Linked DNA regions of Drosophila melanogaster. The protein of the gene in region 1 interacts with the protein of each later gene in a pairwise test. Each region holds a gene or a part of one and is shown in the gene's direction. Other genes may lie near its edges.

Evidence for each region.
Region 2: the proteins of MTA1-like (region 1) and CG10431 interact in a two-hybrid assay, tested with the Drosophila melanogaster proteins (one large-scale study listed by BioGRID).
Region 3: the proteins of MTA1-like (region 1) and Drgx interact in a two-hybrid assay, tested with the Drosophila melanogaster proteins (one large-scale study listed by BioGRID).

What each region holds. Positions count from the first base shown.
Region 1 is NT_033777.3:5,642,865-5,652,652, reverse strand, and holds the start of MTA1-like (metastasis associated 1-like), read left to right. Parts: upstream 1-3,914; 5' UTR 3,915-4,128; coding exon 4,129-4,156; intron 4,157-4,742; exon of another isoform or gene 4,743-5,382; coding exon of another isoform or gene 5,383-5,437; coding exon 5,438-5,599; intron 5,600-8,382; coding exon 8,383-8,490; intron 8,491-8,875; coding exon 8,876-9,204; intron 9,205-9,308; coding exon 9,309-9,629; intron 9,630-9,688; coding exon 9,689-9,788. Other genes in the region: Sec23 (secretory 23), read right to left, coding at 183-272, 649-672, 851-1,399, 1,468-1,621, 1,684-2,933, 2,993-3,271.
Region 2 is NT_033779.5:18,967,889-18,978,687, forward strand, and holds CG10431 (uncharacterized protein), read left to right. Parts: upstream 1-6,821; 5' UTR 6,822-6,888; coding exon 6,889-6,959; intron 6,960-7,016; coding exon 7,017-9,234; 3' UTR 9,235-9,308; intron 9,309-9,374; 3' UTR 9,375-10,299; downstream 10,300-10,799. Other genes in the region: Nak (Numb-associated kinase), read right to left, coding at 365-527; Tango6 (transport and golgi organization 6), read left to right, coding at 1,211-1,271, 1,330-3,531, 3,592-4,094; L2HGDH (L-2-hydroxyglutarate dehydrogenase), read right to left, coding at 4,272-4,659, 4,714-5,571, 6,029-6,150; Swip-1 (Swiprosin-1), read right to left, coding at 10,467-10,799.
Region 3 is NT_033779.5:3,659,086-3,669,183, forward strand, and holds the start of Drgx (dorsal root ganglia homeobox), read left to right. Parts: upstream 1-3,659; 5' UTR 3,660-4,221; intron 4,222-8,891; exon of another isoform or gene 8,892-9,027; coding exon of another isoform or gene 9,028-9,332; intron 9,333-9,385; coding exon of another isoform or gene 9,386-9,446; exon of another isoform or gene 9,447-9,466; intron 9,467-9,605; exon of another isoform or gene 9,606-9,639; coding exon of another isoform or gene 9,640-9,908; intron 9,909-9,968; coding exon of another isoform or gene 9,969-10,035; exon of another isoform or gene 10,036-10,049; intron 10,050-10,098. Other genes in the region: Sfp24Ba (seminal fluid protein 24Ba), read right to left, coding at 9,028-9,332, 9,386-9,446; Sfp24Bd (seminal fluid protein 24Bd), read right to left, coding at 9,640-9,908, 9,969-10,035.

The sequences.
Region 1 (9,788 bases):
CGCGGATTAACACACTTATTGTTGAACATAATTTGAATAGTTTATTGCGTTATAAGACGATCAATTGGAATAAGTGGTTGTATATTCGTAATTTCATTGCCTGGACCATTGATTCCAGGTGTCGTTCGCCTTCTTCGACTTCGCCAGGGAAGCAAGCGCCTGAAACTAGAGCCAGAGTCGATTTATGTGGTGGTGGACACAGCCAGCTTCTTGAGGTGCTCCATGAACAGCTGCAGCGAAACGTCATCCGTGAGCACTGGAGCCCCGCCATCCTGTCGAGATAATGTCCGGAAAATTAGTCATGCGATGGGTGGGTGGGATCGTGCCAAGTGGGGAGGGGAGGATGAATGAAAAAGGGATACAAGCACCTAGAAGGGTCCAACACCAAAAGCCACTTATATATAAATCATGTTTGAAATTATTAAAAACAATATGAAAAAATAGGAACAGACAAAATCTTTGCTTAGATTAAGCCGTGTGGGGTTGGCCATCTTAGATTTATTGCAAAATCCAAAACACTTATTTTGGACTTATAGCTATCAAGAGCAAAGGACATATCCAATTTCCAAAGATTTTTTACCCGCCCCTTAAATTTCAAATATCCACCTTTCCACCAGTTTAAAAGTTGAAAATTAAACAAATATGTACTACCGTGACTTGACCGATGGGCGCCTGCGATTGACAAAGGAGCGGTTACGGATACGGGTACGGATTATACAATGAGAGAAACAAAACCAACATAAAACGAGATTGAGATTTCGATTGAGATTAAATTTTCGATGACGCCAAATGGAGCGCTGCAAAGATCAATCAAATGTGGCCAGTTGATGGCGCTGGCTGCGAGACTCACCTGCCCGTAGGCGTACATGTTGTTGTGCGTCTGCGAGGGATTGACCTTGGACAGCAGGAAGCGGGCCTGGGATCCGCCGTGCTCCGTATCGATGTAGCGAGGCATGGGGAAGCGCGTCTGAAGAATCTCTTGCGCGTCGTCCACCGGTGCTTGCAGCAGCTGCTTGAAGTTCTCGTACTCTGGCATGTCCTGGTATTTGAGGGCTCTCCACTGGGCGATGGTCTCGCCGTGGTAAATCAGAATCTGAAAGAACGTGTCCATCAGGAGGATGCGATCCGCCTGGATGGAAGCCGTATCGAGGAGGACCGGTTCTGGAGGGCCGTTGAACGAGTAGCTGTAGAGAATAGGCTGGATCATGATCAGCGATTGGGTGAGGTCCTCGCGCATTAGCATGTGTCGATAGAATGTGGTCTCGTCGGGCGAGTTGTTGAAGACCTGCAGGAACTGCGAGCGGCGCAGGTGGTACATGAATTGCGGGAATAGGCTGAAGTTTTGCGACAGCCTGAAGCTGTTGGGATCGTCCTTTGAGTACTCGCCGAACTTTTGGCACTGTAAAAGGAAAGCATTTACAATACTAATTAATTGGGCACGAGTAATTTTGCACATTGAAAACTTACCAGACGAATCAACTGACGATCGACCCAGCGCAGAATGTCGGGTCCTTCGTCAGTCTCCGCACGATAGACGACCATACGGGCCATCAGAACTGCGGCGGCCTCCTGATCGAAGCCAGCGCTGATGTGGTGCACGTTCGAGGTGGCATCGGCCCAACTGAAAAACAAACAGATTGAACCACGTAAGTAAACTCTGGGCTGATTTATGCCAACACATACTTTCTGGCCAGTGTGGTAACTCGGATTCGCCGCTGTCCACTTGGGTGCTGGTACTGCGTAATGAACTGTATGCAGCCACGCCCGCCCTGCGGAATGGGGGCTGCATGCTGGTTGACCACCTCAAAGAAGTAGGCTACGGTGGAGCTGGGATTCAATGTGCACAGCTTCCACTGCACCGTGTTGCCCATGCCGATCTCCACATCCGACACCGACGGGCTCTTCACATTCAGCGACACACACGAGCCGATGCCACCGGAGATCTTCAACTCGCGCGAGCACTTCACCTCCAGCGTGGCATTGAAGGCCATCTTCAAGTCGTTGCGACCATCACGTGCGAAGACGCGTTGGAATGTCTGCTTGAAGAGCGATGAGTTGAACGAATCGCCCATGACCATGTGGCCGCCAGTGGAGTTGCATAGCTGCTTCATCTCCAGCAGTCCGGTTTGGTCCAGGGCACACGAGTATATGTCGACACTATGCCCGTTGGTGGCTGCCCGCAATGCCAAAGCATCATAGTGTTTGATAGCCTTCTTCATAAACCGCACGTTGTCCTTGTGGATGTCGTGATGCGAACGAATCGGGTGCTTCAGCTCGTCGTCGACCACCTGGCCGGGGCCCTGGGAGCAAGGGCCACCCACGAAGGTCATAATGCGACCGCCCGTATTGGGATAAGTGCACTCCAACAGGCCCACCGCAATAGATAGGGCGGCACCAGTGGAGCGCAGGTAACGCTTGCCCTGCGGCACCGGCCAAGGATCGCGTTGCAACTCGCTAAGCAGATCGCCCAGCGCCGCGTCGCACTGGCCGATCGGTTGCAAGAAGCGATGGGCGGGCGGCACAGGGGCCGCCGCTCCAGCCGGCTGGCCGGGCAGGTGCTGCTGTTGCTGCGGCCCCGGAGCCGCTCCACGCCCAATTCCGAGCATATCCTGCACCTGCTTGGCAGTCAGGTCCTTGGTACCACGAAACACATAGCTCTTAGAGCAGCCTTCCGCGCCCAGCTCGTGCACCTGTATCATTTTTCCGAAGGTTATCAGACCCACGAGAGCGTTGGTTGGCAGCAGACTTAGCGACATTTGCAACGAATCCTTGAGGGCGTCCAGCTCCTCCTCGTCCATGCAGGTGTCAACCAGGAAAATGAAGACGGGCGGCATGGTGGGGGCCCGTGTAATAGTATACTCAATAGTGCTGAATCCCGGAATCAGCTCCGCTGGTTGGTGCTGCTCGGAAATGGCAGCATATTGAGGGGGAAACTGGAATAATGACTGTCATAAACTGCCGCAGAGAGTCTAAAGATCACCATTGAGCTCACCGGATTGCGCTGAAAACAGAAGTTGCACACCCACAACTTAGCACGGTAGTCCACCTGGCACAGTGGATTCAGGATGGCCCTGCAGTTGCTGCGAGTGCACAAGACCGGCTCATATTGAATAGGCGGTAGGTCGGGGCGCTCCTTCAAAGGCTGGTAAAGACAAGCTAGGGGCACCACCAGCCGACTGGCTTCGATGCGACTTGAGGGCCACACATTCCACGTCAGCCGCACTCCGTCGCGGTCCTCGTTCTGCTGGATGAACTCCTCGTAGGTGGTCATCGCCGGAACACTTAAATGTAATACTTAAATCGGAAAAACCTCTGTTAGACCTCTGCCAATTGGAAAAATCGGTCGGTCAGGCCACGTCACGGATTGACAGCGAGTCGTGACACCTTTCGTGCTGGCGACGGCCAAAATACTCACGCGAAAGTAAACAAATTCGCGAGATGAGTCTTTAAGAGGCTCTTCAAATCAAAGCACTCACTCTGGAAACAATTTATACAAACGTACAAAACGTAGAAACCTAGACTACGAACTATTACAGAATTTTAAGTGCAAACGTTGCATGTTAGGGAAGACAGTTTTCAAGCGATACTATCGCATGCGCCCCATGCGATTGAATGAATGTTTTAATATGAGAAAAAAAGGGTGAAAATAAATATGTTTTGAAAATGATAAATAAAACAAGGTTCGCCCATAATTTTTTCAGTTAATTTTCTTAATGATATATATTGTTATTCAAGAAGTATATATAATATAAATAAATATAAATCGTATTCCTAGAAAAGCCCCTTATCGTTTTTCTTATCGCCCCAACTAAATTTTAACATTAAGTTTTTACCCAACACCCCATGTATCGATTGCTATCGATGGCCAAACTATCGCACCGTGGAGTGCATCCCTGGTGCAGCTGTTTACTCGGCATTGTGTGTGTGTGCGTGTATTTTTTAGAGTTGAGTTGTTTCTAAGATGGCGACGAAAAAAACGCGTCTTCTTATGTGAAAAATGCAATCATAACAACTCGAGTTTTCTGCTAATAAATGTGCGCTAGTTTGGAACAGGACCATTGAAAAACAGTGCTAAGCGTGTGCCGAGTGTTTTGCATGTGAAAGTTTTGGTGCGGTAGCGTAGTGAAAATGGCCACAAATATGTATCGAGTCGGAGGTGAGAAAAATTTTCGCGTACTCGCTTTTCTATCATCTTTCGTTATCGGCGCCGCCGTTTCACGGTGTGCGTGTTCGCTTCTGCATATGTGTGTGTGTGTCCAATGTGTGCGTATGCGTGTGTGTTGTGTCTGAGGAGGCTTTCCAACAATAACGAAAGTGCATTTTAATTGCCGAAAACCCTTTAGTGGGAGACCCGACGCACGTGTATGTGTGTGTGTGTGCGTGTATTATCAATCTCAAGAACAATCCGTCGAAAAGGAGAGACCTTTTCTATTTTTTTTAACTTCTTTGAAGGAGCCCCCTGCTGCTCTTGTGTCGCAGCTGCAGCAAGTGTTTTCGACGTGTTCCAACCGATAAGCATTAACTTATGCCCTAAGTGTATGCGTGTGTGTGTATTCTAGGGCTGGGGAACTGAATTGCATTTGCATTTGGATTTGGTTTTGCCGAATTGTGATCTCTCCAGCGTGTGTGTTTGTTTGACTATGTGCGAAAGTGTATCTCACTTTTGGGCTCACCGCCCACCCGCCTTTTTGTGTTTTCATATGCTAATGAGCTTTTGAGCATCTCCCCCCATCTCACGCCTCCCACTCCTCACCCTGCCTGACGCACTTTCTGTTAGCCATCTCGCTCGCGCTCGAGCGGTGACGTTATTGTGTTGTCTTCACCTGATTTTCGCAAGTGTGTGGGTGTGTGTGCTCTTTCGAAATGCAAATAAGCTCGGTCGGATACGCAAGCTTTCAATTAACGGAATCAAAATAAATATTAATGGCATATATACTTGTCGAATTATCTGCTCTTTATCGCCGAGAACTTTTTGTCTCCATCGGCGTTTTTTGTTAGCCGTTTTTAATGGCCACGCACACAGTTACACACCTTCGGCAATGCTTTCTCGCTGCCTCCACACTTTCTTTTTCATCTCTCTTCATCTATCTACCCATCTATCTGTGTATCTGCATCCCAAAATGTAGCAGAAGTGCACACGACGTTTGTATCTATGTATGTATGTACATACAGATAAACGGAATTTCTTTTATTTTTTATAATAGTCAACGACAGGTTCCGCTGCAGTTGTTGTAGGTATAAAGTTATATGGATGGATAGACCCATATGTATTTAATTGCGCTTTAGCTGGTAGTGGTGGTCGCACTTAGGTGGATGCGTGTATAGGTGTATGTGTGCGCTTACCTGTGACGTATTAATGGAGTTGCAGCCCCCCACCCTTCCATGCCCTTTTCTGACCCTTTTGCATCAGCCACCTCAAAAACTGTTTTTTTTTCAGACTATGTTTACGTTGAGACAACGCCGAACAGTCCCTACTTAATACGACGCATCGAGGAGCTGAACAAAAACCAAACCGGCAATGTGGAAGCGAAGGTCATGTGCTTCTACCGCCGCCGGGATCTGCCCAATCCGCTCGTGCAATTGGCCGACAAACACCAACGTGAGTAGAGAAACCCTGTTCCCTCGAAACCGCATCCATATCTTGCGTTACGTTACCTCTAAGTGTGTATATTTATTGTCAACAAAGTGAGGTTATGTTGCCAAGAGTCGTTGTCGTGGCCTTCAAACAAGTTAAGAGTTAAAACCTGACGACCAGATCTGCTAAGCACATGCCCACCACAAAACAACAACAAAATGAACCCGTAAGGGGCACCACTGTGTGCGCTGTGTCAAGGCATGTGGAAAGCGAAGCCACCCACCGAACCACCCAACCTCCCACAGTGCCACCCCATCCCGCAATCCTAGTCAAACTTCCTGAGCAACAAGAACCGCAATGACAACAACTGTGAGGGCGGAGCGAAAACGGATTTCGTCCAGCATCCGACTCATCCACATAAACAGGCAGTGGAACCTTCAAACAACCTGCCACATCAACTGGCAGTGTAACCACTCTACTTCGAACCAGAAGCACCATTGATCTACGTTCCAGTAGCGCAATTTGAATTATTCGTGTCGCAAATTAGAAAAAGCATTTAGCAAATAGTCTAAAAAGATATTGGTCATAGAAACTAGGTGTTTTGGGAACTGGTAATGAACATAAACACGCATCGTGGTGCGGAAATAGCCTGTAAATTATTAAGTTCAACCTTAGGCATACATATGTACATACGTTAAGGTGCCACCGGTTTGCTCTAATGATGCTCGACTGTAATGAGCTGGGCTGCACTATACTACCCGTAATGCGGTTGTTGCTGTTTTCGGTTGCTGCTAGGCGGCGCCGACGTCAATGTGAATGTGATACTTGGTTCGGCTGTAGGTAGACTACAGTAGTAGTCTGTCTACCTCTGAAAAGCTGCCACACATACCCATGCCCAACCCAACCCCAAACCCACTGACACTGCTGCTCTGTGTGCACGAAAATGTTCAAGTCAGAAGTTGGGATCTGGAGGGGATTGGAATGGAGCAGTGGAGTGGAGTGAAGCTATGGCGATGTGGCACACGCAGGAAGGCGCGCTTTGCATTTGTGTATACATACACACAGCGCCTTCATCCACTTCCTCTTCGCCGTTCCAAAAAACTCACAAAAACCATGCCCAATTGGGTTGAATTTTTGGCTTTGGCCACCCACTCGAATTCGATACGTGACCGTCGCGAAAATGCGTTTTCCGTGGGTCTGACCTGGCAGAGCAACCCACCCCAATCCACCACCCCATTCTACCTCCTACACTCCCACAAGACCAACAATGCCCATTAACACAGCCCCTTTCGGCCCCAACATCATCGGACCACTGTCATCTTGCTTTATTTTTAATATAAGTTATCCATTACGCTCCACGATCCAGTTTTTATTTGCGTGCGTCGCCTTTTCGCAGGCCACTCGCTAATCAGGCGCAGAAAACTAGCGTAAAAATATACATTTGAGGCACAAGTGTGCCGCCATTCCAACCCCAAGCTACGGACTTGATGCAAGTATCTTTGAAAGGTGGTTTTCCGAACTCCAGAAACACTTCAAAACCTTTAAAATAAAATGATTACTATATTTTATACTTCTGTTTTACTTTCTGTTAGTTTCTGTTCTGTTTGCCACTAGGAAAATGGTATTTTGTTAAGCTTAGAATGAAATATCTAAGTACTAGCCAGTACTTACGATCATTAGCATAACATTATATTTACTATTTTAATTATTGTTAAATGTGATAGTACATAGCTCACAGCCTAAAATAACCACTCTCAGCGGCTAATCACATTGTCAATAGCAGACCTTGAAGTTTGCCGGGAATTGGAAAGGGTATAGAAAGCAGATACGCTCGAATGGCAAACAAATCCCGCAGCGGCGCACCCACCCACTTGTGTGTCCTATCTATGGCCACCAAATAACGCCCAAGCCTTTACCCCTCCACCCACCACCCACCGCCATCCACCATCCTCCGCCCCTTTTTGATTGCTCTCGCTTCGTCTTCGAAACAAGCGCAAAATACAAATACACAAATACACGTACCCAGCTTCGGCTCTTTTCTGGGACTCAGGCCATGCACCCACGCCCGTGTGTCCGCCGAGGAGGTGTGGTGGTGCTGTCCACCGCCCACCTCACCTTCCTCCCCTTCCGCCCTTTGCGAAATGCCAAGCGTATATTTTTTAATCAGCCCAGCGAACTTCCAGGAAATTCATGAGGGTTACTTTCGGATTTCACAAAACACAAATTCCGGGAAAGCTGAGATGTATATTATATAGATAACGTTTAGATTCAAGTAGCGTCACTTTATTAAAATAGGGACATACATACATGTATGACCTTTCTTTGAATTCGCTTAAACATTTTCAATTGTATTGCTTGTATAAAAAAAAAATAATATTATTGATAATATATTTGAAGTATAGGAAAGTTGGACAAATTGTAAAACAACCAGGAATTTACTTTTTGCTTGAAGGGTTCTTTGCTCATCTTTTAAATTTGTGTATCCTAGGGAGTTGTTTGGTCTTTTGGTACATTAGTGCGATTTCATATCATTTATGCTTGGTGAGTCCTTATCGAGAAGGAATATATATGGTCGTCATATATTTGTTTGTTCGTATTACCATCCTGCATCCTTAGTTCCTTTGCCTATGACAACGACTCTTAAAAGATTATTTCTCACCTGTCTTCGCATTCAGGTGTCTCTTTCAAACTTATTAACTAAAATGCTTTAACTTATAAACATGATCTCTGTCGATGAACGCATTTCCCCAAAACGCACCAAATCATACTCCTAACCATCTTAAATCTAAAATAACGCATCGCATCAGTGGCCACCGCCGAGGACTCACCGTTGGCGACCAAGCTGAAGAAGACCTGGCTCCGCACACCCGTAAGCGAGGAGCAGGCGGCGCAGGCTGTGCTCGATCCCTCAATAGGTACCACCTCCAGATGATTACTCAAATACTATCTCTGCCACTTCCGTAGACCCGTAGACCCAGACTCAGACTTATGCCCTCATTTTGTATGTTTTGCACTTTATGTAGAGCACGATGGTAATTTCAGTAGTGTAGTAACCTATCTAAGTTGATAATCTTTATGCATAGTTCTATTCTGGTTAATGGGATCATAATTTATTTTTAAATTCAATATACCTGATATGGAACACCTGATTTGTATTATTATATTTATTATATTTATATTTATTATATTTAAATTTTATTTCATTTTACTTTAAAAGTTAACTCTAGCTTAAATAATCAGTCACCATCTTAAAATTCCGAACCGAATGAAAGAATCTAATGATTTGGCTTATTCTTTTAGCTGCCCTGGATGAGGAGCGCACCAGTCCAACGCAAACGTCTGGCGGAGGAGGCTCAGCCACCGGGAACTCCGGCAGCAACAGCAGCGGCACTTCCAACAACAACAGCAGCAGCACTGCCATCGGAGGTGGAGCGGGAGGCTCCGGAGGTGCAGGAGGCGACGCGGAGAAGGGCGAAGCGTTGACCAGCAAGCAGCGCTATCAGATCAAGCACCGCGAGCTATTTCTGTCACGCCAAGTCGAGTCGATACCCGCCACACAGATCCGAGGCAAGTGCTCGGTGACCCTGCTCAACGAGACGGAGTCCCTGCAGAGCTATCTTAATAAAGACGTAAGATCCATGTTCCTGAAGAAAGAGTGCAGTATTTGGGTGGAAATTGGTCTAGGAAGATTCCATTCGATTCAATTCTAATTGCTTAATAAATCCACCCACAGGACACATTCTTCTACTGTCTGGTGTTCGATCCAAATCAAAAGACGCTGCTTGCCGACAAGGGCGAGATCCGGGTCGGCAGTCGCTACCAGTGTGATATACCCGCCAAGCTCAAGGACACCGCCACCGACGACCGCAAGCTGGAGGAACTCGAATCGCTGGTGTGGACGCCGGAGCACAGCCTGACCGACCGCAAGATAGACCAGTTCTTGGTCGTGTCACGCTCCATCGGCACCTTCGCCCGCGCCCTGGACTGCAGCAGTTCGGTGAAGCAGCCCTCGTTGCACATGTCCGCCGCGGCGGCCAGCAGGGACATCACACTGGTAAGAGATGATTGCAAATCTATGATGGGATCTGACGTTTACTGGCGTTTACCTTTCAGTTTCACGCAATGAACATTCTGCACAAGCACGAGTACTCTATTGAAGAGTCCATGTCGTCGCTAGTTCCTTCCACTGGGCCTGTGCTATGTCGCGATGAAA
Region 2 (10,799 bases), on another chromosome or scaffold:
TACAGTTTTATTAAAAGATAATATATCAAAGTCAGATTTTAGCTGTTTTGAGTTTAACATCTTATACAGAAATTATTGGGAGTAATTTATTTGGATTTAATCGGAAATGCGACAAGTGGTGTCCCCAATTATGGAGGATACGCAGCTGATTTTTATGCTCTCTAGCGCTTTGAGTACGCCCCACATTTGGGAGTTCTCGCGCTGAAGGGGTTTATCTAATCTGTGACGAGGGGCGAGACCGAAAAGCGGACGGCAGGCTACTGCCCACCTGTAAATCAGGCAGGTGATAAGCATAATCGCGGGCGACGTGTTGTAGGTAGGGGAATGGGAGCACATATATAAGAGTGTATATATAGTCGTCTACCTTCTGCCAGGACATCCTCCACGGTGACCGTGACGCGTCCCACTGTGAAGACCTTGCCCACGAAGCTGTTCTTCTCGTTCGAGGACGACGAGCTGCTGCTGTTGGGCGGATTCTCCAGTCGAGAGTTCTCATTGCGCTCGAACTTAGACAGGATTTTCTTCATTTTCCCCCGATTTTCACTAGAAAATGTTTACTGCCCCAGCAGCACAACACACACACACACACTCGCGAGCACACACGCACACTAGCTAACACGGTCTTAATTGCCTGCGCGTAGGTGTTTTTGGCAATTTTTAATTTTGCGAGGGCGGCTGACGGTGGGCGGGGCGTCGGTGCCGCTGGCCAATTAATCCACTTTCGAGTCGTATCGGCTAGCTGAATAAAGCTATTCTGCGCACTTTGTGTTTTTGCATGCACACACACAATGCAGTGGAAAAAGAAAGTTGTTCGATTTTCCTGCTGCTCTCGAGTTGTTGGGCCAGTGTGACCAGGGCGCTTTGCTGCAGTCAGATGCGCAACCCGCGGCTGGTGCAGCCGCCTATCGATATATAGATAAGTTGGTTGCAATCTCGAAATTCTGAAAACAAGGAAATCCCCGTTTACAAAATAGGTTTTATGATAACAATTTTTTGTAATTTGATCCAATTTAAAAAGATAATATGGTTCTACTTTCAATAAAACATATAGCTACAGTTGCATTAAACTATCGCGCAGTTTTAATTAGCTATGCTGCCAACATCGTGTTTCCCTTATCAATATGTTATCGATTGTGCTGGTGCAATTGTAAACAAGCATCTCTAGCAAATGGTCGCTAAATTCGCAAAATTGTAGTTTGCTGGGATAACAATGATAAATACGGCCAAGTACTTTGCTCTTCTAGAGAGTTTAAGGTTTAGTAAAGCTCTAGGTAAATTGGTTAACATCATATAATAATTGTAGTATCCCTAATACTAATATTTCGACAGCAAATACGGCGAATAACTCAGGGACTGCCGAAGCCTTGGAAATCAACCTGCGAATTTTGGAAAAATATGCTAAACTCGAGATTGGTCAGCAATTGCATGAGCTGTGCCTGGAATATCAGTTAACAGACGATCACGAATCTAGTATTGATCCCGATTCGGATCGTACTATATGCTATATAATAAGATTGCAACATGTGCTACATTCGATCATGAGGAACATTAATTTCCACAGCGACGCCAAGGAGGATCTTATTTCGGTAGCGCACCTGAAATTGTGTATCCAGGCTTCCCAAGAATTATCATATTACTCGCTTCGATGCCAGCTACATGAGGATTTCTACAAGTCGCCCATCTTTTGTGAGGCTCAGGGGAAAATCAAAGCTAACTTTTCATTGATGCTTCTAAGCATTCAGTTCTTTATTAATCTACTGCATATTCGACAATACCACATAGCCAACTCGATGGAGCTGGTGCAAAGGGATCTACTGGCGGCCATTGTGAGTCTACGTGTGCAGCAAGACTCTCCACTGCTGGATAAGGCTATAGCCTACCTCTGGCAATATGAATCCAAAGCAGATTTCTTTCGCAACATCTTGCTTTTTAAAGCTACGACTCTCTGCCCAACTCTGGCCCAATTATTGCACCGTCAACTCTTAGGAAAGCTTCACTTACCCCAAGGATTTGCTAGTCTTGTTGAGGCCCTGCATCAAAATCCCAATGTGAATTCTTCCAGAAATGCGGAAATTGTGGCTAGTATTGTGGCCAGAAAAGGATTTTCTCAGTTAGCGCAAGAGAAGATGGTTCTCCAGGTGCTAGAATATTGTAAGTTCTATCTGCAGAATGCGGACAAAATGTGCGCCGGTGTCCTATCGCTCAGAAGACTTTACGATTTAAGTGATACAAATCAAAAGCTGATAAAAGAAATATTATTCAAACACTGGGAAACGCTTTGTAACCCAGAAGACATTATTAATGGCCTTATCTTAATGGATCACCAGGAACTGTGCAATCGCATTCTCTTATGGCAGCATCTCTTTTGTTCTTCAACCGTAGCTTGCTTACCCAGTAATCTACTCGTTCCCTACCTTCCTTTGCTGCTCCAACTCTACGATGGCCTTCCAATGGAATTACCGGCGTCATCGCAGATTTCTGCCATTATTTTGCGTTGTCTGGACAACAGAGAAATGAAAAACGAATTACCTGCGATACTCCAGAAGCTGTTTAAATGGGAAATTGAGAAGGAACCTCCTTGGAAGTGTTTAAACCCACGCATTATAATCCTGCCTTCCATGAACACAACTCAAATTCAGGTTAAAGTAGCTCACAAAGATCATCTAGCAGATCACGATATGGGCAGAATATTGCCCGGTCTACTCACATCAAGCTCTCATCATTCCCTCACCTGCAAAGTTTTCCTCTCTCTTCTGGGCTTCATAGCTAAACAGATAAATGATAAATCTTCAGCCAGCGTAGATTTTATTTCATCAGAAGCAGAGCTCAAAGACTTTCTGCACTCCAAATATCAACTGAAGCTAGATTTGCTCATTGCTTTAAACCAAATGGTAGCCCACCAACCATTAAGAGCTCAGCTATCACAACATACCAAGGAGCTTCTACATATACTAAAAGACTTGCTTGTCCACCGATCTAGAGAGCAAGATACCACGGATCAGATCCTACTTCTCGTTCTAAACCTCTTGCAGGAAATTCTTGAGGGCAGTGAGAATATTCAACTTTCAGAGGCCTGTAAGGAACTGAAAGAACAATTGCACCTGTTGGGTACTCGATCTTCCAACCCTCTTATCCAGCAATCTGTAAAATCATTGCTTACAATAATTCACGGCGCATGGCGACCAAGTGAGGCTGTTAAAATACAACCTTTTCAAAGAGCTCGGTCCTTGATAGAGGAAAAACAATCCCACATGCAAGTGTATGGAATTCAGATGATGATTGATTTGCTGAAAAAAAGAGATCCTGCTACCTTAGCGCAGGGTCAACTTATCATAGCGTTAGCCCTGACCACTCTCAAGGATAAGGAATCCTACACCTTCTTAAATTGTGTTCGGCTCTTTGTGTCGCTTGTTCATGTGATGGAGTCCGATGTGCTGGACAAATTGAGTGATGAGTACCTATCAGAGACGGCTCACTTAGACTACCGCCTCGTAGTGGGTGAAGCTATTCTGAAAGTCGCTCAGGAGTTGGGTAAGCAATGTTCTACACAGCTAAGAATAACTCCTAAACTTTCATACTAATCCCATCCAGGTCCTCTTTGCTTTCGATACAAGGCTGTTCTTCTCAACTGCTTCATGTACGGCTCCCGGTCTCCTGTTCACGAATTCCGGATGTCAGCCTTTGCCAATCTTGCCCAGCTTTGTCGCCTTTTGGCCTTTCAAGTGCAGAACTTCTTCCACGAGTTACTCCAACTTGTTAATAGCGAATTAACCACCGGAGGATATGTTCCCTCTAAGCGTGCAGCAGTCCTGGTCTTAGCTGAACTATTAAACGGCATGGAGAACCTTCTGGATTACCAGGAAATGTTACTCCCCATTTATCGCCTTTTAAAAGCGATTGAAGCGGATGAATCCTGTGATCCTCAAATGCGTCAGCATGCTGCAAACGGTCTGAAAATTTTAAACAAAAAGTGCACAAAACTGATACAATCTGCCTTGGAGGAGAAATCATTACAGAAGCAGATTAAGGTGTTGGGCATTAAGGACGATGATTCACCTCAAAGAAGAAACCGACATATACTGGAACTGAATTAAAGGCTATCTTAGAAACCTACACAAGTTTTAATTTTGTTTTATACACAATAGATCAATATTACAGTTTCGAAAAGAAATGCGATAGTGGCGAATCAGTACAGACATTACTGACATAAAGGCAGAACAGAAAATAGGACTTAGTTTTGGACTTTGGTTACATTATTTGGGATAGAGGCATCACTTGCCGATAGAGAACTCATTCTCGATCTTGTCTGCGATCATCTTGGCAATGGCCAAGCTACTAGTAGCGCCCGGCGATGGGGCGTTTCTGCAGTGAAGCACTCGCTTGGCTAGCGCTCCCGATCCTTGTCCGCGATCGAAAACAAAATCGTCCACCAGATTGCCATCCAGATCCATTGCTTGGGCACGTACTCCAGCGGGACCACGCTGGATATCGTACTCCGTAATATCCGGGATGTACTTCTGCAACGCCTTGATCTGCAGGTTAATGAACCACGATTTGGACATCTCGCTGAGTCCGAAACCGATGTACTTGCTCGCCATCTTTACGAAGCCCGGATAGCGCAGGGCGTCGAAAAGCTCGAAAAGATTAATGTCACCCCAGCTGGAAGAAGTGAAGTGTCAGACAAGTTTAAATATGAGCTCTAAGAAGACTTACGTGTAACCTTCGCGTTTCAGAGCCAGAACGGCATTTGGTCCCAGCCAGATAGATCCGTCCATTCGCGGCGTAAAGTGAACTCCCAGGAAGGGGAAACGTGGATCCGGCACCGGATAAATATTACCCTTGACCATATGCTGTTTTTCCTTGGTCAGCAGCAGATACTCTCCACGGAAAGGCACGATGCGGGGGTCTCTGGGGCATCCAGTCTTCTCAGCCAGCAGGTCGGATTGCAAACCGCCACAGGTTAATACGTTCTTGGTACGAACCGTTTGACCGGGCTTAGCGCCATGGATGGTCACTGGGTAGTCGGTGCCCTCCTTGGTCTCGGTAAACTTGCTGACATTGAAGTCCAGGTAGATATCACCACCGCACTGTTTGAAATCCTGACCATAATGCTCGGTAACCAATCCCCAGTCAACGATACCAGTGTGCGGACTGTGGAGCGCCATCACTCCCTGGCAGTAGGGTTCGATCTCCTGAATCTCGCTGCCTTCGATCATTCGCAGATCCGGTACGTTGTTGGCAATGCCACGCTTCTCCAAATCCTTCAGCAGCTTCACTTCTTTCTCATCCGTGGCCACAATTAGCTTCCCGGTTTTCTTGTACGGGATCTTTTTTTCATCCAGATAAGCGTAGGCCAAATGCATGCCCTCCACGCAAAGGCGGGCTTTCAGGGTTCCAGGCTTATAGTAGATGCCAGCATGGATGACGCCGGAGTTGTGGCCGCTCTGGTGCTTTGCCAGCTTGCACTCCTTCTCCAGGACAGCCACTTTGAGGGATGGATGGCGCAGGACAATCTCCCGGGCAGATGCGGCGCCGACGATGCCACCACCAACGACAACCAGATCATAATCTCTGAGGGAATACAAAACATATCAGCTAACAGCCTCAAAAATTAAATAAACTTAAGACTTCTAAAGTTTTTAAAAGTTAGAAAGATGTTTGTATATCCGTTAGAGTAAAGAGTGTGCGGGCACGTTTTTGATTAGGATCATCAGTCAAGTCGATCTAGCCATATCAATATGTTCATCGACTGTCAGACCGCAAGAACGTCGAGATCTTGGGAACTAATAAGTAAGATAAAGGCTGCAGATTGCAGTGAAAAGACTATGCTATGCAATTAAGAATACAAAAGTAAATAGAATATACATTGCTTAACTAAACATGATTTTAAAAGCGCATTCTAAATGAAAAGAAGCTTACTTAGCTCATTTGGAACACCTAAATGATATTCTGCAAACAGTGAAAAGATTCTTAGGATCGGAACACCCCCGAAAATGAGAGAACCCTATCGTAATCTCAAGAGACTTACCCGCAGCTCGACGAGCTGTGCTGCGATCTTTTGTGGGTCGCTGTGGATTCGTTGGGCGCGGCCACGCCCACATTGAGTAGGCTACGCCGAAGTCCCTGTACCAGCAGTCGCACCTGAGCCATTTCTCTTTCTTTTATGCTTTCACCACCCGCGCACGCACGTAGAATTTAGATTATTTACCAACCCGAAAAGAAAGACCTTGCTTGACCTTGCCTTCTCCTCCGCCAACTTGTGCGTACAGCGCGCTTTCGAGCGAATCGACAGACTGAAGCCCGTGGAAGTTTTCCGTGGGGCGAGAGAAAATAAATATGCTCACGGGCCGAGCATCTGGGCGATTTGTGGGGCCGAGGGGCGATCATAAACGCGCTAATTGATAAGTGTGACGGATTATTTTTGAAAGGGGGTGGTTGGGTAAGGACGTGTGTGTCAGCTGTTCGGTTTGTTGATAAGATTTAATGTGCCCAGCTGCCATTTTGCAAATTTTCTGTAATCTAACAATATTAAAATTTTTATTTCATTTTAAATATTTCAGGTTATACGATCATGCTGATTACTCGACTAAAAAGTATTTACAAGAAACAAACATATAATTTTAACCCTAAATTTGCTTTTATTCGATACGGAATCCCATTATATTTGGTCGTATTTGATAGCAAACACAAATGAATAAAGTTTCGTTATTAATTCAGAACTGCAAGAAAAAAGACCGCTATCAACAATATGTGAGACGCATTTTCCAACACTGAACACTTCAGAAGCAAAACAAAACCAGCTGATTTAGCAAACAACAGCTAGCTCACAGATGTAAACAACAGAAATTTGCAAATTATTACAAATTATTGTACCATAAATACCTTAAGATGCCCGCCCACTGCGCCGTGATAAATTGCAGCCATAAGTATGTGCACGCGGGCAGCATTTCATTTCACAGGTAAGTGAGTTGATTTTCAATTGACAAGATTACACTATAGCTTCTATTCTCCCAAAGATTTCCATTCAAACGGAAGGATCTTCTACAGAAATGGAAGGAATTTACCCAGAGGAGTGCTCAGTGGATGCCCTCAAAATGGAGTGCGCTGTGCAGTCGGCACTTTGGTGATGAGGACTTTAATTGCAGCAATAATCGGAAAACGCTTAAGAAAAATGCTGTGCCATCAATTAGGGTTTCGGAAGATGACTCCATGAGTGGGCACTTGGAACAGGTGTCCCCAAGCAATAGGCCAACGCACAAGCAAACTCTTTCTAGTGCCGCCGAATCAGCAGCAACAGGTGTTAAAGCCACTTGCCGCTTTTGTGGTTCCTCGGCCATCAATTGCTCCTCGTTTGACAAGAGTTTTGAGCTCTTTGGCATGATCCAGAAGTGCTTTCCTACGCTACAGATTCTTCAGGACGACACCTTGCCCAAGGAAATATGCCAGGAGTGCTGCCTCCAATTGGAGCGCTTTTCCCAGTTCATCGATGTGGTGATGTTGGCGCAGAGTGAATTGCAAAGAAAATACCGCCGACAACTGAAAATCAAACAGGAACCCTTGGTTCGTGTGAAACAGGAGGCCTGCGAGAGCTTGGACAATCTTTTTCCTGATGAACTGGACATGGGTTTGGAGCAGGACGATGGCTGCGATCAGGAAGAAACTGAACAAAAGTTTCAGTTCTGCGAGTTCCCTATGCTAAATGCCCAAGACATTATCAACAATTGTGATATCATGGAGATAATCAATCTGGACGATCCGTTTATCAATATTCCAGACGATGCGGATGTGGGACAGTCGGAGAGACTACAGCCTGGAAGAACGGCTAATGAAATGCTGCAAAACGAACTCCTAACCGAAGAGCACAATTATGCGAAGGAGGAGTGGCAACTACCCCCGCATCAGTACAAAACGGAAAAGGTGGAGGGAACGGATGCTGCGCCAGACGCAGCTCCTCCGCCTGCTGATCCCCCTCCTCTTCAGGATAATATAGACCCTCCCTCGGCCCCCGAACCGCGCTCATGCAAGCCCATTGTGACCAATGTAAGCCAGATACCTAACCCAATGATCTGCGAGCTGCTGCCACAGCCTGCTCCTCCCACGTCGATCAAACCCAACATCGTGGTACTTAACGATAGTGTGGTCGAATCCTCAGCGGCTTTTCGGCTTCACAACTGCACTTTGTGCACTGCCAAATTTATAACAATAGATAGCTTAAATCAGCATTATGCACACAGTCACAGTAATTCCACTCCCATGGTTAGTGTTCCTCCGATGAATATATGCCTTCCCAGCTTAACCATGAACCCTCCAATGAAAATGGAAAGCAACAGAGGTCTTGTGGCCACTGAACAATCCGAATACTGGCCGTTGGAGTGGCATAATAGTCCTGTATCCAAGCAACCTAGGAAAAAGATTGATATACTAGATATGCAGAGTAGTTTCCTGCATCACAAAGACCTTATACCGACAGCCACTCAACTGTCAGCACCCGCACCTGATCCTCAACTGGTTGCAGTGACTGCTAGCTACGCTAAACTGGCTAACAGGTATCGTAAGTTGCAGCTGAAATGCAAAAAACTGAAGTCACCAAGGAAGGTGCACAGAAAAACCTATGTGTGCCGGATGTGCAGGAAGGGATTTTCAAAGTTTAAGAACTTACACCACCACCGTCGTCAGAAAGCACACTTTGTAAAGTTAATACCCAATTTTTCAGGACGCTGTTCTGGTTGCCTAAAGTTTTTTCGATCCCGCTTGGGTCTTCGCCAGCATATGCGATACATATGTCAATCGTTGTCGCTCAAAAACCATCGGCGCCTTCAGAGCTTCAAGTGTCGCCACTGCCAGGCCATCGCCTTTGCCCACTGGCGCCTGTATCGTCGTCATGAACTCAATTGCAGGCCCAAAAAATCCAAAACTAAGGTGCAGACGGCAATGAATTCGAAAAAGAAAGTTACGCCCACCCAAGTATTTGAGTGTAATATTTGTAAAAAATCATTCGGTTCGCTCAACGGACTACGCCAGCATAACATCACCCACTCGACGGAGCGGCAACACAAGTGCGGCATCTGTGAGCGGGTCTTCAAGCGACGCAACGGATTGTCTCAACACATTAAGGGCTACCACCTGCAGCTCAAGCCGCATGAGTGTCCGGTTTGCCAGCATCGCTACGCCCTGAAATGCGATATGCTGAGGTGCAGGCATTCCCTGCGAAAAGGTCCAGCTGCCGGGGAGTAACAGGAAGCCCTGGAGATGACTCACGATTGGACAAGGAAATGGTATTTACTCAAGCAAATGCTATAATCTTGGAGGTAAAACCAATTTGTTTTCTAAAAAACAATGTGCGATAACACGCCACTACAATTTTCTTTCCACAGATGATCTGAATCTCGATGCACTAAATGCATTAAGCCTAGTCACTCTATGGGGTACTTAGTTGGTGGTCTTCCAGTACGGCACGCAAGGTGATGAAGGGTTCGCAGCGGGAATGAAATTGGCGCTAGTCAAGGTTACTTACAATAAGTAATTTAACCTAATTAAACCGACGCTTCATTGAGCAGGAACGAGGTTTCGCAAATCGGAACAACATTTTTGAAAAGGTTGAAAGGGGGAAAACTAAAGGCGATCTTAAATATTTTGTATTATATACATTTATTTATTTAAATTGCAGTATAAGTTTGTAGTAAACGTTCTCTAAAAGTACGTGTATTTTCTTGTGTATTCGTATTTAACGCATTAGTATTGCTTAAATCGCTAACTTTAAACGTGAAATACTGAATCGAAACTTATTGTTTTACTTTAGGCTGATCCAAGCAAAAAACTAAGATTGACTGCCAACATAGGATTAGTATATACAAAGAAGGTTGAATTTCACAAGTTTATTTGCTTAATATAACTATCAATTTTATTTTTAACAAAACTAAAACGAAGAACATAAAAATGGCACTAAAAGTACAAAATCATAAAGTAAAAAGCATACATTTTGGAGAACCCTCAAGGATAAACGTAATTCAACAATGAAATTTTGCGCAACACCAAACAATAAAGTAGTTCTTAATCTAAAACATTTTAAACTTAACTAAAGGTTAACTATAAATACGCTTTTGGTATGATCGTTATTAATGTACGTATGTATGCATATGTCCCTGGCTAGAGTGGCTCAGTTTGGTTGGTTTTAAAAAAATATATATTAGAAATTGAACGTTATATTTTGTTACTTGATAAGTTGTGATGGGTACTTCAAAGATCCAAAACAAACATTAGTCAAAGATAACATTCAATTCCCAAGATGTTTTTGCCAGCAAATCGAGTTTTTATATGTATGGGGCGATAAGTATGAATATAATTAGAGTATGTGATGCTTGAAAAATGCTTGTACGAAGCGTATCCTCTTCTCCCGGGATTAGTTCCACATTCGATTAACCTACGCCAGATAATTACTCGCTAGACTAAGGGCGAACCTAAGTCCTCTACTGGAAGATCGCTGCCCGCTGCTGGAACTGCTGACGCCGCTGGGCCCGCTCCTCCTCCTCTCGCCGGCGCTCCTCCTGCTCCGCCCGAATCTCGTCGTGGAACTTGTTCGTCCGCAGCTGTTGCTCAATTTTCGCCTCGAAGAAGTTCTTGGCTCCGCTCACTCCCACCTGCTCCACATCGACCTCCGTGAGGCGGGCCAGCTGATTCAGCCCAGAATCGGAGTCCAGTTCCCCGGCCTGGGCCTTCCTGAAGATCAGCAAGAACTCTCGGAATGAAATCTTGCCATCGTTATCCTCGTCCACCTCGGCAATCATCTGCTTGAGTCCCAG
Region 3 (10,098 bases), on another chromosome or scaffold:
TTTTCTTCCAAATTGTTGTATTCCCAAATTGTAGTCGAAGACATGCCTCCAAATGGATTCCGTGGAAGCCGTTTTGCCTCTTTTAGCCAAATGATGCGTAGGCCATAAAACCGAAAGGCCAACGATGGAGTCTTGGCCATTTGCTTAGGCGCTGGGCGTGGCTCCAGCCCCATACTCACCCAATAATAAATATACACTGACAGATTTGTGTTTAATACTTAAGCGAATTTATAATTTAATATTTACCTTTAAACTTAACATGCAAGTTATTTTAAAGCTCGAAAACATTTTAATATTTTTGGAGTTGTTTTAAATATTTTTAATATTATATAACTTGAAGTGCACTATTTTCCTTTGTGCCTGAAACAATTTTTGATGGCGCCCATAAATTTTCGAGGCTCTTTTCAAGCCTACGAATGCGAGTTGAAATGTCGCATCATAAATAAACGGGCATCGTTTTCAGGAGTCAGGTGATGAAGGCATCGGAATGCCGATAAAAAAGTGGTAAGGGTTGGTTTTTGCCAATGGGAAGTGGCCTCCAAATAAACCGCAATGCAATTTGGTCCAAAAGAAGTTAATAAAATTTCGACAAGCGGAAAGGGGACTTCCGTTGATATTTCATGAGTTTCCTGGGTAGACTGATGCTTATGAGATCAATGGCGTAGGCAATATTAAAAAGGGGTTTTAATAAGATCTTTTCTCAACTTTAAGTTACCTTTCATATTTCTGGTTCATATGCTTCAGCATCTCGATGAGGTCTGAAATGGTTATTAATTGCCCCAAAACCTTTGCCACCTGCCGTCTCGCTTCCCCATTTCGCGCTGTCCCTTTCGGGCGGCTATTCATTTTCGGAGGCTGCGCCATTTTGGCTTGGAAAATTTATAAACGTAATTGAGATGCCTTCGCCGCAGCGCATTTTCCCCACCCAGCACTTCCCAACACCCCCCTTATTTCTCGCCACCCAACTGGCCGCACGTAAAATGCATTAACTGCTGCTTCTGGCCTCGTCCTGGTCCCGGATCAGGATCCGTATCCGGATCCGGTTACAGTTACGGGTTTTCACTCCTGGCAAAAGTCCGAGGCACTCGCAATTTGGTTTTCGGAAAATAAGCAATTTGTAAATTGAAAACGGTCGTTTCAGGGGCCAGCGAGGGGGTTTTTTTGGGGGGGGGGCGAAACTGCAGTTACATGCGGCCATTTACTACGTGGGCGTTGGCCAGGGGGCGTGGCAGGCTAGAACTGGCTTCGCGGAAGCTGGAAATTAATTATTTGCCATTAGGGCTAAGTAGATGATATAAAAAGTGGCAGCAAAGCGTGCTCCAAAAGGGGCAGTGGGTGTGGAAGGCGGAGGGCTGGAAAAAACGTGAAGTGGGGTTGGGGGGGGGTAAATGGATGGCAGACTGGAGATTGTCCTGCTATTGAGGCGGTTTTCTGCCGGGTGGGGCTCAGCTCTGCAGGCAATTTAGACAGTCAAGTGCCCATATAAATTACATAAATTTCACCCAGGAACTGCCGGGCACCGAGAAAATGGTGGAAAAGGGATAATAAATAAGTACTTTAGTTCAAATTGTAGAAAGATATTAGAAGATTAAGAAAGCCAAGGCGTGCTATTTGCTTAAGTTATTAATAAGCGCATCTCTAAGTAATTTTTGTAAAATTATAACAAATAGCTCATAACAACAAAGCTTATCACATAACTGATAACTTCGCCAATATTGACAATTTTATGACAAGCAAACTGTTATAAAATCATCCACCCAAAGTGGAAAATGCAACACGAGTAGTTTCCGTGGATGGAAAAATCTTTTTTCCTCCTCCGAATCGCTGGAAACTCACCTGCCAAAGGAAGAGGCGTTAGAAGCCGAGTGCCACGCCTTCTCTCTGGCGTCCAAAACGAATCCCAGACTCATCTATTATGAAGTAGGTAATTCCACTAAAACGAACCAACCAAGAAAAGCGCCGAAAATGTAGAGGGAGTGGAAAATAAACACAATCAAAGAGGACAAAACAAAATTTAAGCGCAAAATGAAATGAAATTCGGATTGGAAATGAAACTAAAATACAAACTAATGATGGAGGAACGTAGTGGGGCCGCAATCCAGGAGCCTGTGGGTGGCAAAGGAAGTAAGCTAACAATAGACAAAGTCATAAATCAGGGCGCCAATTTGCAGGCCTGACAGGCTACCCCCAAATGAAAGGAGCGGCAGGCGAGGGGAGAGCGTAGGAGAGCCAGAAGAAACTGAATAGTTATCCTGCACGCCCAAAATGCCAAATTCAGAACACTTTAAAAAATATATTCTCAAATGATGATCAAGTTTTTACAATTGGATTATGATAATAAAATAGAAAGCAGTTGCAAAATATTATAAAAAATATTACATGTTTTTTTTAGAATTTGAAGAGCATCTACTCATACTATTTCAAAGATTGTAAAGCAAAGTATTTTATTTCGCTTGATATTTATATAATGTTTTACCTAGGAATAAGAACATTTCAGGTAAGATTTGTGATGGAATTACGGCAGTGCATAAAAGGGGAAGAATAGGGACTGCGGAAGGCCACAAATTCATTTCGTAATTGTGGCCAAAGAGCCATGTGGCAAGAAGGGGGGGTGGGGTTGAGAGAGGGGTCAGAGGTCGAGGGGCGAAGGACAGCTAGAGGAACCCATTCAGGCAAACAATAATAAATGGGATCCAAGATGGCGTCACTGGGATTGGGAATTGCTATTATACGGGGTGTTTTCTTCTTTGGGGGAGGAAACAGAAAAGCCATAACAATGATGCTCCATAATAAATTAACTGAAATTCACTTAGTTATTTATTTTTTGCCCAAGATGAGAGATTAATCTAAATAAATTGAGTTGTCAAGTGGGGCACAAAGAAAAGAAAAAGTTCGTGGGGGGTGGGGAGGGGTAAAAAATGATATGCCAAATAAATACCAACGGTGAGTAATCGTTTTCTTATTGTTACTGCTGTAGTATCCTCTTCCTCTTCCCCGAAGAGCACCAAAGCGATTCCCCGAAGAAGGCGATTCTTCTTCCCGTATCGCCCATTTCTTCCCGCATCCCCCACCCCCCTGCCCCACACACATTCACCACACTTAACGATGAAAATCCAATTTAAGGCTGCCTCAGTTGTTTGCGCTCTCCTTCCCCCCCTTGGGGCTAGTCCCGTCTCTTTCGCTCGCTCTCTCCTTGCCACCTAAATAAAGTGTAATAAAATAAAGTAGATAGGGATAAGAGTAGATAGGGATATTAGGAACACGAGAGCCCCTTCAACGTTTCTGTTTTTGTTTTTGCAGCTCTCCATGCCGAAAATTCAATTTCCACAATGAAAATGCGCGAGAAAATTGTCTTACATGCCGGAGAAAGAGCAAAAGAGAGAGGGAGTGAGGGGGTTGGGTGAGCGAGCGAGATGGGTATATGTCTCGAAACAACTGCGCTTTGGTTTGCTGGCTGCGCGGCGCATGCGCGAGCGAAAATAACGGGAAATGGCAAAGGCGGCGCTTAGGGGCATCATCCCCATTCCTCCTCCTCCATCTCTTTCCCACCCGCAGCCATCTTTCTGCCGGCGCAGATCTAATTTGCAGCCGACTGCGCTGTCGACGTTGCGACTGCGGCAAGCACCGTTAGATCATTCGCATTCTGACGTTTCACGCGGTCGGTTGAACACTATCCACACTACTATATATATGTCATATAGATCTTACTAAATCCCCCGAAAAAATACGTATTACCCGTCTGGATTAAATGACAATTTTTTAATCTCTAAAAGGAAACTTTTCCGTCGGCAAAACGGTGCTGCGAACAAGGCTGGAAAAACTCAAAACTCCTCATAGACATCCAGCTCCTTCAAGTGCTAAACCTACGTGTGTGTTTGTTCTTAACCCAAAACTAACTACTCTTTGCGGCCTATTACCTCTGAGATTGAGCGTGTAATTTGTAGAGGAATCCTTAACATTGCCCAACTTCCTTTGTGATTCGCCCACGTATCCTTGTTGAAAACTTTTTGCAAAACTTCCTGGCAAGTGTTTAGACTTGTTTAGCTCGGGGAAACTTTCGCACCTTTGTCTTGCGTGTTCGTTCGTTCTGTGAAAATTGCGAAAAAGTTAAACTCAAACAGAGCTCAGCGCCAAAAAGTCAAAAAAACAAGAGCGACAAGGGATTTTCTTCTGTCACACGCTTGAAGTATTGCTGCCAAAATTTTCACGGACGGTAATAAGGTAATATCTCTTATGCACTCATTTGATTTATAACAAAGTCGGAAATTCCTTTAGAAAAGAATTATTATTAACGGGTTTTGGAACGTTATGATCGAATTGTTTGTTATCCTCAAGCAACTGATTCAAAAGATAATCCTCAACTTCCCATTCAAATCGCAGCACACCGTGCGCTCATAATTTATTTAGACGCTTTTAATTTGCATTAAGGAAATTTCCTAATGAGTTTCAGTGTGATAAGAATCTCGGCCTTCGAGAGTCCGGAGTCCTGGAGTGTGTGTTTTTGTGAGCCAGACCCGAAGTGTCTGGCAAAAGTGTTTGTGCCGATGCCTTTCCTGTGAGAAATCGCACAAAACTCGTCAAGCACTTGAAGTGCAAATGTGAAAGAAGCGTGGATTGGAGGCGAAAAAAGAATTAAAACCAAAATTGGTGTATGCATAAAGGATTCGGCAGCAAGGATCCAAAAGGAGATTGCCCCCGAAAACAGCAAGGGATGGGGTATTTCGGTTGAAAACTCGCCGCTTAATTGAAGACAGACCAAAAGTTGATCACTCCGCAAATGCAGTTTGAATAATTGATGGTAATTAAGAGAGGGAAAAAAAGAGGAGACAGCTCGTGGATTCCGATTCTCCATGTGCGCAACGGAGATGGAGCAAGGGTACAAAATCAATGGCAAATAATTCGCCAAAGAGCAAACCAAACAAAAAAAAAAAGAAGTGGGGAAAACGAAGTTTCAAATTAAATTGATCAACCGCAAATTAATTGGCAGCCATGCAAACGTTCAACGCTCCACTGGATGCCACGCCCACGCAAGAGGGCGGTGGGTGGCACACAGGGTTGGGAAGTCTGACTGGATGGATCCACATAGGAGTCAATTGGAGTTGACGAACGGTTTTTCCATTCGTCGCCAAGTTTTGTTCGATTCGTTCAACTCAATTAGGGAAGCATGGGTGCAAAAAAGGGGCAGTGAAATGGGCGCTGAATGGGGGGGTTAAAAAGGGGGCTGGTGCGATAGGGCCGCATACAAATAAAATACAATTTGGCATATTTAAATTAGCAAATGGAATTACCGCAGAGAACGTTAGTCGAAGGAGGTTAGTTCGGCCATGTTTATTGATTGCTTGATTGAATTGGGCAACGAATTGGTGAATGCTCCAAATTGATGGATAGATTGGAGTCCACACATTCTCGCCGAGGCTTTCCATATGCAAATGAGACATGTCACCGTACCACTAGTTTCAAAAAGATATTTAACCATCTAAATATTAACTTATTGTAATATATTAATATATTTATAATGAATAATTCGACAATTAGAACTGATTATCTGTATATAGCATATTCATTTGATTTCGTCATCACACTCTTAGCAAATTTCATAGCCCACTTTAATTCATCCCCTGTGTTTCTCAATCACTTAACGACCCCCCACAAAGCTTAATAAATATATGGTGCCAACACCTCCCATACCCTAACCAACTGAAATGCACAAAACAATTTGCTTTAATTAAACAGAAAATTCAATCAAAATATTTATAAAACAAGAAGACCAAGTCAGTAGGGGTGATCAACGGATTTTCCTCCCCATGCGGGCGCCCCGAAGATGACGATATACCATACATATATGTATTTATGTATGTATATCAAGTATATATAATTGAAAGGGTTAGCTTTCGGAATCGGCTCTGTTTGGCTTTCGAGTTTGTATAAGCTGGCGGCACTTGGACACGAAAAACTGGCGGGGGTGCAACACGGCTGCCTAATTCAATTTACGCTCATTTTTTGCAGTGCAGCATTCGGGCGCTGATTCGCTGGTGGGTGGCTCTCCGGCCAAATGCACTGCATCATTTCGGTCCGATTTACACTGAGGCTCTGATTCCCTGATTCTAGGCGCGAGCCAATTGACACAATCAAATTCGAACCTCGCAAATTCGCTTAATGCGCCGCGAGACAAAAACAAGAGCAGCAAAAAAATATGCAAAAAAAAAAAGGAAAACGCTCAACCAAAACTGCAATCAAGAGGGATACTTAGATGGGGGCATATGCAAATGGTTTGGCTAGACAGTGGAGATTCCAAAAACATGAAAGTGTAACAACTTGTATGTATTTCATTTAAATATTAGATAGATCATTGAGTAGATAGATCATAACTCTCAGCTACTGTGATATGAATATTATATTGAAAAATCCTTTCCGCACCTGGAAGCTCTACTGTATCCATCATATCACAGCCCACTCCAAGTTGGATCATCAGTGGCAGACTGCGCCAGTTTAGTTTGATTACGCCGGCCGGACAGGCAGACATTTCTAAAAACGGATGCACTTTACTTCGGTGGCAAAAGTGATAACCTCATCGCTGGACGGCCAGTTTACCGCCACCCACTTCCACCTCCTCCTCCTCCTCCCATTACCATATCATCTCACCTCAGTGGGAAATTATCGCGCTCTCGGTTTGGGGCAACAACAAAAACAAAAAAAACTAGGAAAACTAGAGCTAAACGAGTGTGTGGGTGGGCGGTAGGCAATTTCGCAAATGCGTTTAAGTGGCTCTAATGCCAGCGGGACGGGGCTTTGGAGCAGGGATGCGCACGTGGATATGCCCATGGATGTGATATCCACAAGCGGAGGCACTGCAGCAGTCTGTTTGCGAATTATCCCACTTTCCAGCTGCACTGCACTCTTGCGAATCTGTGTGTTTCTGCGTCTCGTCGCGATTTGGCGAACCGAGATTCGAGTGGCCGATAAGTCCATTAGTGCAACTGGCCCTGGGAATGAAAGCAGGTCGGTGGTGGGTTTGCATCTGACCTTCAAGAGGCGGCAAAAGTGCAGGAAAAAATTCCAAAAATATGTCTGTCTTCTGACCTTCTGAATATGGTATTTTATACATATTTGAATGACACGTAGAAAATTATAATGAAAGTTATCTGTTCTTATTCCATTATCAAAATGCTGACCATATATGTTTTAACTGACCATTCTGTGCCCCTCTGATGATCCCCTTTTGGTCGCCCATTGCTCATCGCTTCTGGGTGTTGCACTCGCTGATTGACTTGTGTTTCCATTTTTAATTTGGTTAATTCAAATTAATCAAGCGACAGTTGATAATTCCGGATGCTCGCGCGGGTATTTTTTTTTCGCTGGCGCAGCGAAGTGCATTTGTTGCATGGAAAGTGCATTGGCATTGGCGTCCAGACTCATCCATATTCATGTGCATCCAATGTTGTTGGGCTTTCCGTTGTCCAGACGCATTGCATTTCCCACTTTGTTGTTTGCTCAATTAATGCAATTGCTCGTTTTGTCTCCACGCCGTTGTTGTTGTCATTCGTGACATTATTAATTTATATTTATATTACTTTTTATAGCTGCAGCTGTTGCATAATGCCCTCAGCATTTGTCGCTTCTGCCGCTGCAGCAAATTGCATTATATTCTGATGCGTTTTAATTAATTTTGAGTTAATTTCGTATTTTATTTTGTGCACTTGTGAAGAGGCCTATGGAAATAAATAAATTCGAAATCAGCGTGATTGCAATTAAAAATACAATATTTTGGGGATATAATTCATTTACAATCTGCAAGATGACTATATTTTCTACAAGCATTAAAAAAGTGGTTAGGCATCACTATAAACAATAAAATTCAATCCTGACTGAAAAAGAGTTTAAGAGTCATTTAACAGAGTGGTTCAATGGCCCTTTTCCGAACGATTTTAGACCTTTGAAGCTGGCCCCGCCTGCATCCCTCCGTACATCTAATGCAATTTGGCGAACACTGCATCCACATCCGCTGCTGTGCTCCCCCCACCCAAAGTCCCCTCCAAATCGTAATCCTCCCGCTCTTATTGAATTTCCCCGTTTTTGGCGACGGCTCGTGGCAGAAACTAGCGCAAGCTTCCATTACTAAGCCCATGTCCGAGGACCGACTGGACAACAAAGGCTTAGCACACAGATTTCCACCAATCTGCAGGCCCTTCACCAGCCCCATCCCTCCGTTTAGCATTTCCCATCCGTTCTGCTGCACTGTGGAAAACTAACTAAAGCTGTTGCGCTACCCGAATTTCGTTAAACATTTTATGGAGTGCACATATGGTGATCAATGTATCCGGCTCGAAGGACCAACACTAGAAACGACACATTTTTCAATAAGGCATTTATTAAATTTTAAAATATTTCAAAACGACAGGACTTACATGGGATTTTCCCATGTGCATCTCGTTTTCACTTGGCGTTTTAGGGAGCGCAGTCCAATCGAAATCGTTGCGCTGTTTAGTGCGCACTTAATTGAATTTCGCGTGTGCTGCTCCAACGTCCACACACAGATACCCACGCACACACTCGCCAGCCAGCACCCTCACACAGATTCACACTTGGACACAGCGAGTTGTGTTGCATTGTCTAGGCCACAAACATTGCCAAGTGCATTTCGTGCAATTGGATAATTGCATTTGGCTTGGCGTCGCCAGTTGCCGGCTGCCAGCGGCAGTTGCCACACCAAATGTAATTGCAGCAGCAACAGCAACACCTGCGACAACTCCACTTTCCCGGTGTGGGGGAATTCGCAGGTGATGACAATTAGCAGGGTCAGCCCAAAAGTAGACACTTCAAGTGGAGTAGGAAACGGTCAGTGAATTAAAGACAACTTCTGGCAATGAAAGAATACAATATTACAATATTTTATATAGAAAACTGTATAATTTATTAGGTAGCTTACAGTGTAGCCAAATAAAATTTTTAATGTTACCATTTACCATTTTAATAAACTGAATCCCCGCTGTCAAGTATTCATCGATGTTATCTCAGTTCAAGCTTCTTTTAGAGAGTTCGTTTTTTCGATCCTCTATTCGAGATGCTTTCGACTTCGCTTTCTTCCGAACCATTATTCCAATAGTCCTCAATTTCACTTTCTTCCCAATCTCCGTTTCCGAAGCTTTCGATACCCCAATTTATATAACCCTTGCATTTGAGCTCGCACTCATCTTTGGCTCGAAAGTAATTTCCGCCCACTGTGCAACCCTTTGCTCTAAACTTTTTGCATCGGTTTTCTTCGGTTGCAAAAGTAAATCCTTTGATTATCTGATCGCAATTTCCATCCACAATTGGCTTATTGCCACAATCGGCTGAAAAAAGTTCGGAAATCACATTGGAGATCTTAAGTTAGTTCAATACTAACCATTCGATTGGGCAAGTACGTAGCTTATTAGAAAAGTTATGACCACGAACTTCGTCTCCATTGCTCACCTTTCAAACGACTGAAAAATTTCCACACACAGTAAGCAACTTAAATCTCACTTTGCCTCAAACTGAACTATGTATGTTACTTTTCTATGTTTATATTACCATAAATTAGCGAAAGTCAAGAGCTATAAAATACTATAAAATGTTAAGTGTGTAAGATTTTTACTATTATCAATATAGTTTATTGGTTCAAAATCCGGCCCAACTCATTAGGCTTAAGATCATCTGCAGAAACTGCGACACCGTTCGACTGAAGAATTCAATGACTCCGCTTTGAGCTGGCTTCCTGGTGTCCTTGCACTTCGCATTGCACGCATCCCTGCTACGGAAAAAGTTTCCAGTTACCTTACAGGCCATCGCCCGGAACTTCTTGCAATTATTTTTTCGAACTTCATAGGTATACCCTTTAATTTTATGCCCACAATTTCCGACAACACTCGGATCAGACCTGCATATGGCTAAGAAGTAGGAGTTTCCATAAGTCGAACTGAATATTTATTAGTTAAAATGACACTTACGTTCCTTTTGGCCAAGACAAATGGCACTTAAGGTACCTATTAGAAGAACCGCAGAGAGTAATTTCATTTCAAGTGTTGCTTTCAGCTGCTCACCAATGACTGAAAACTGTAACTGAAGGCATTGTGGGGA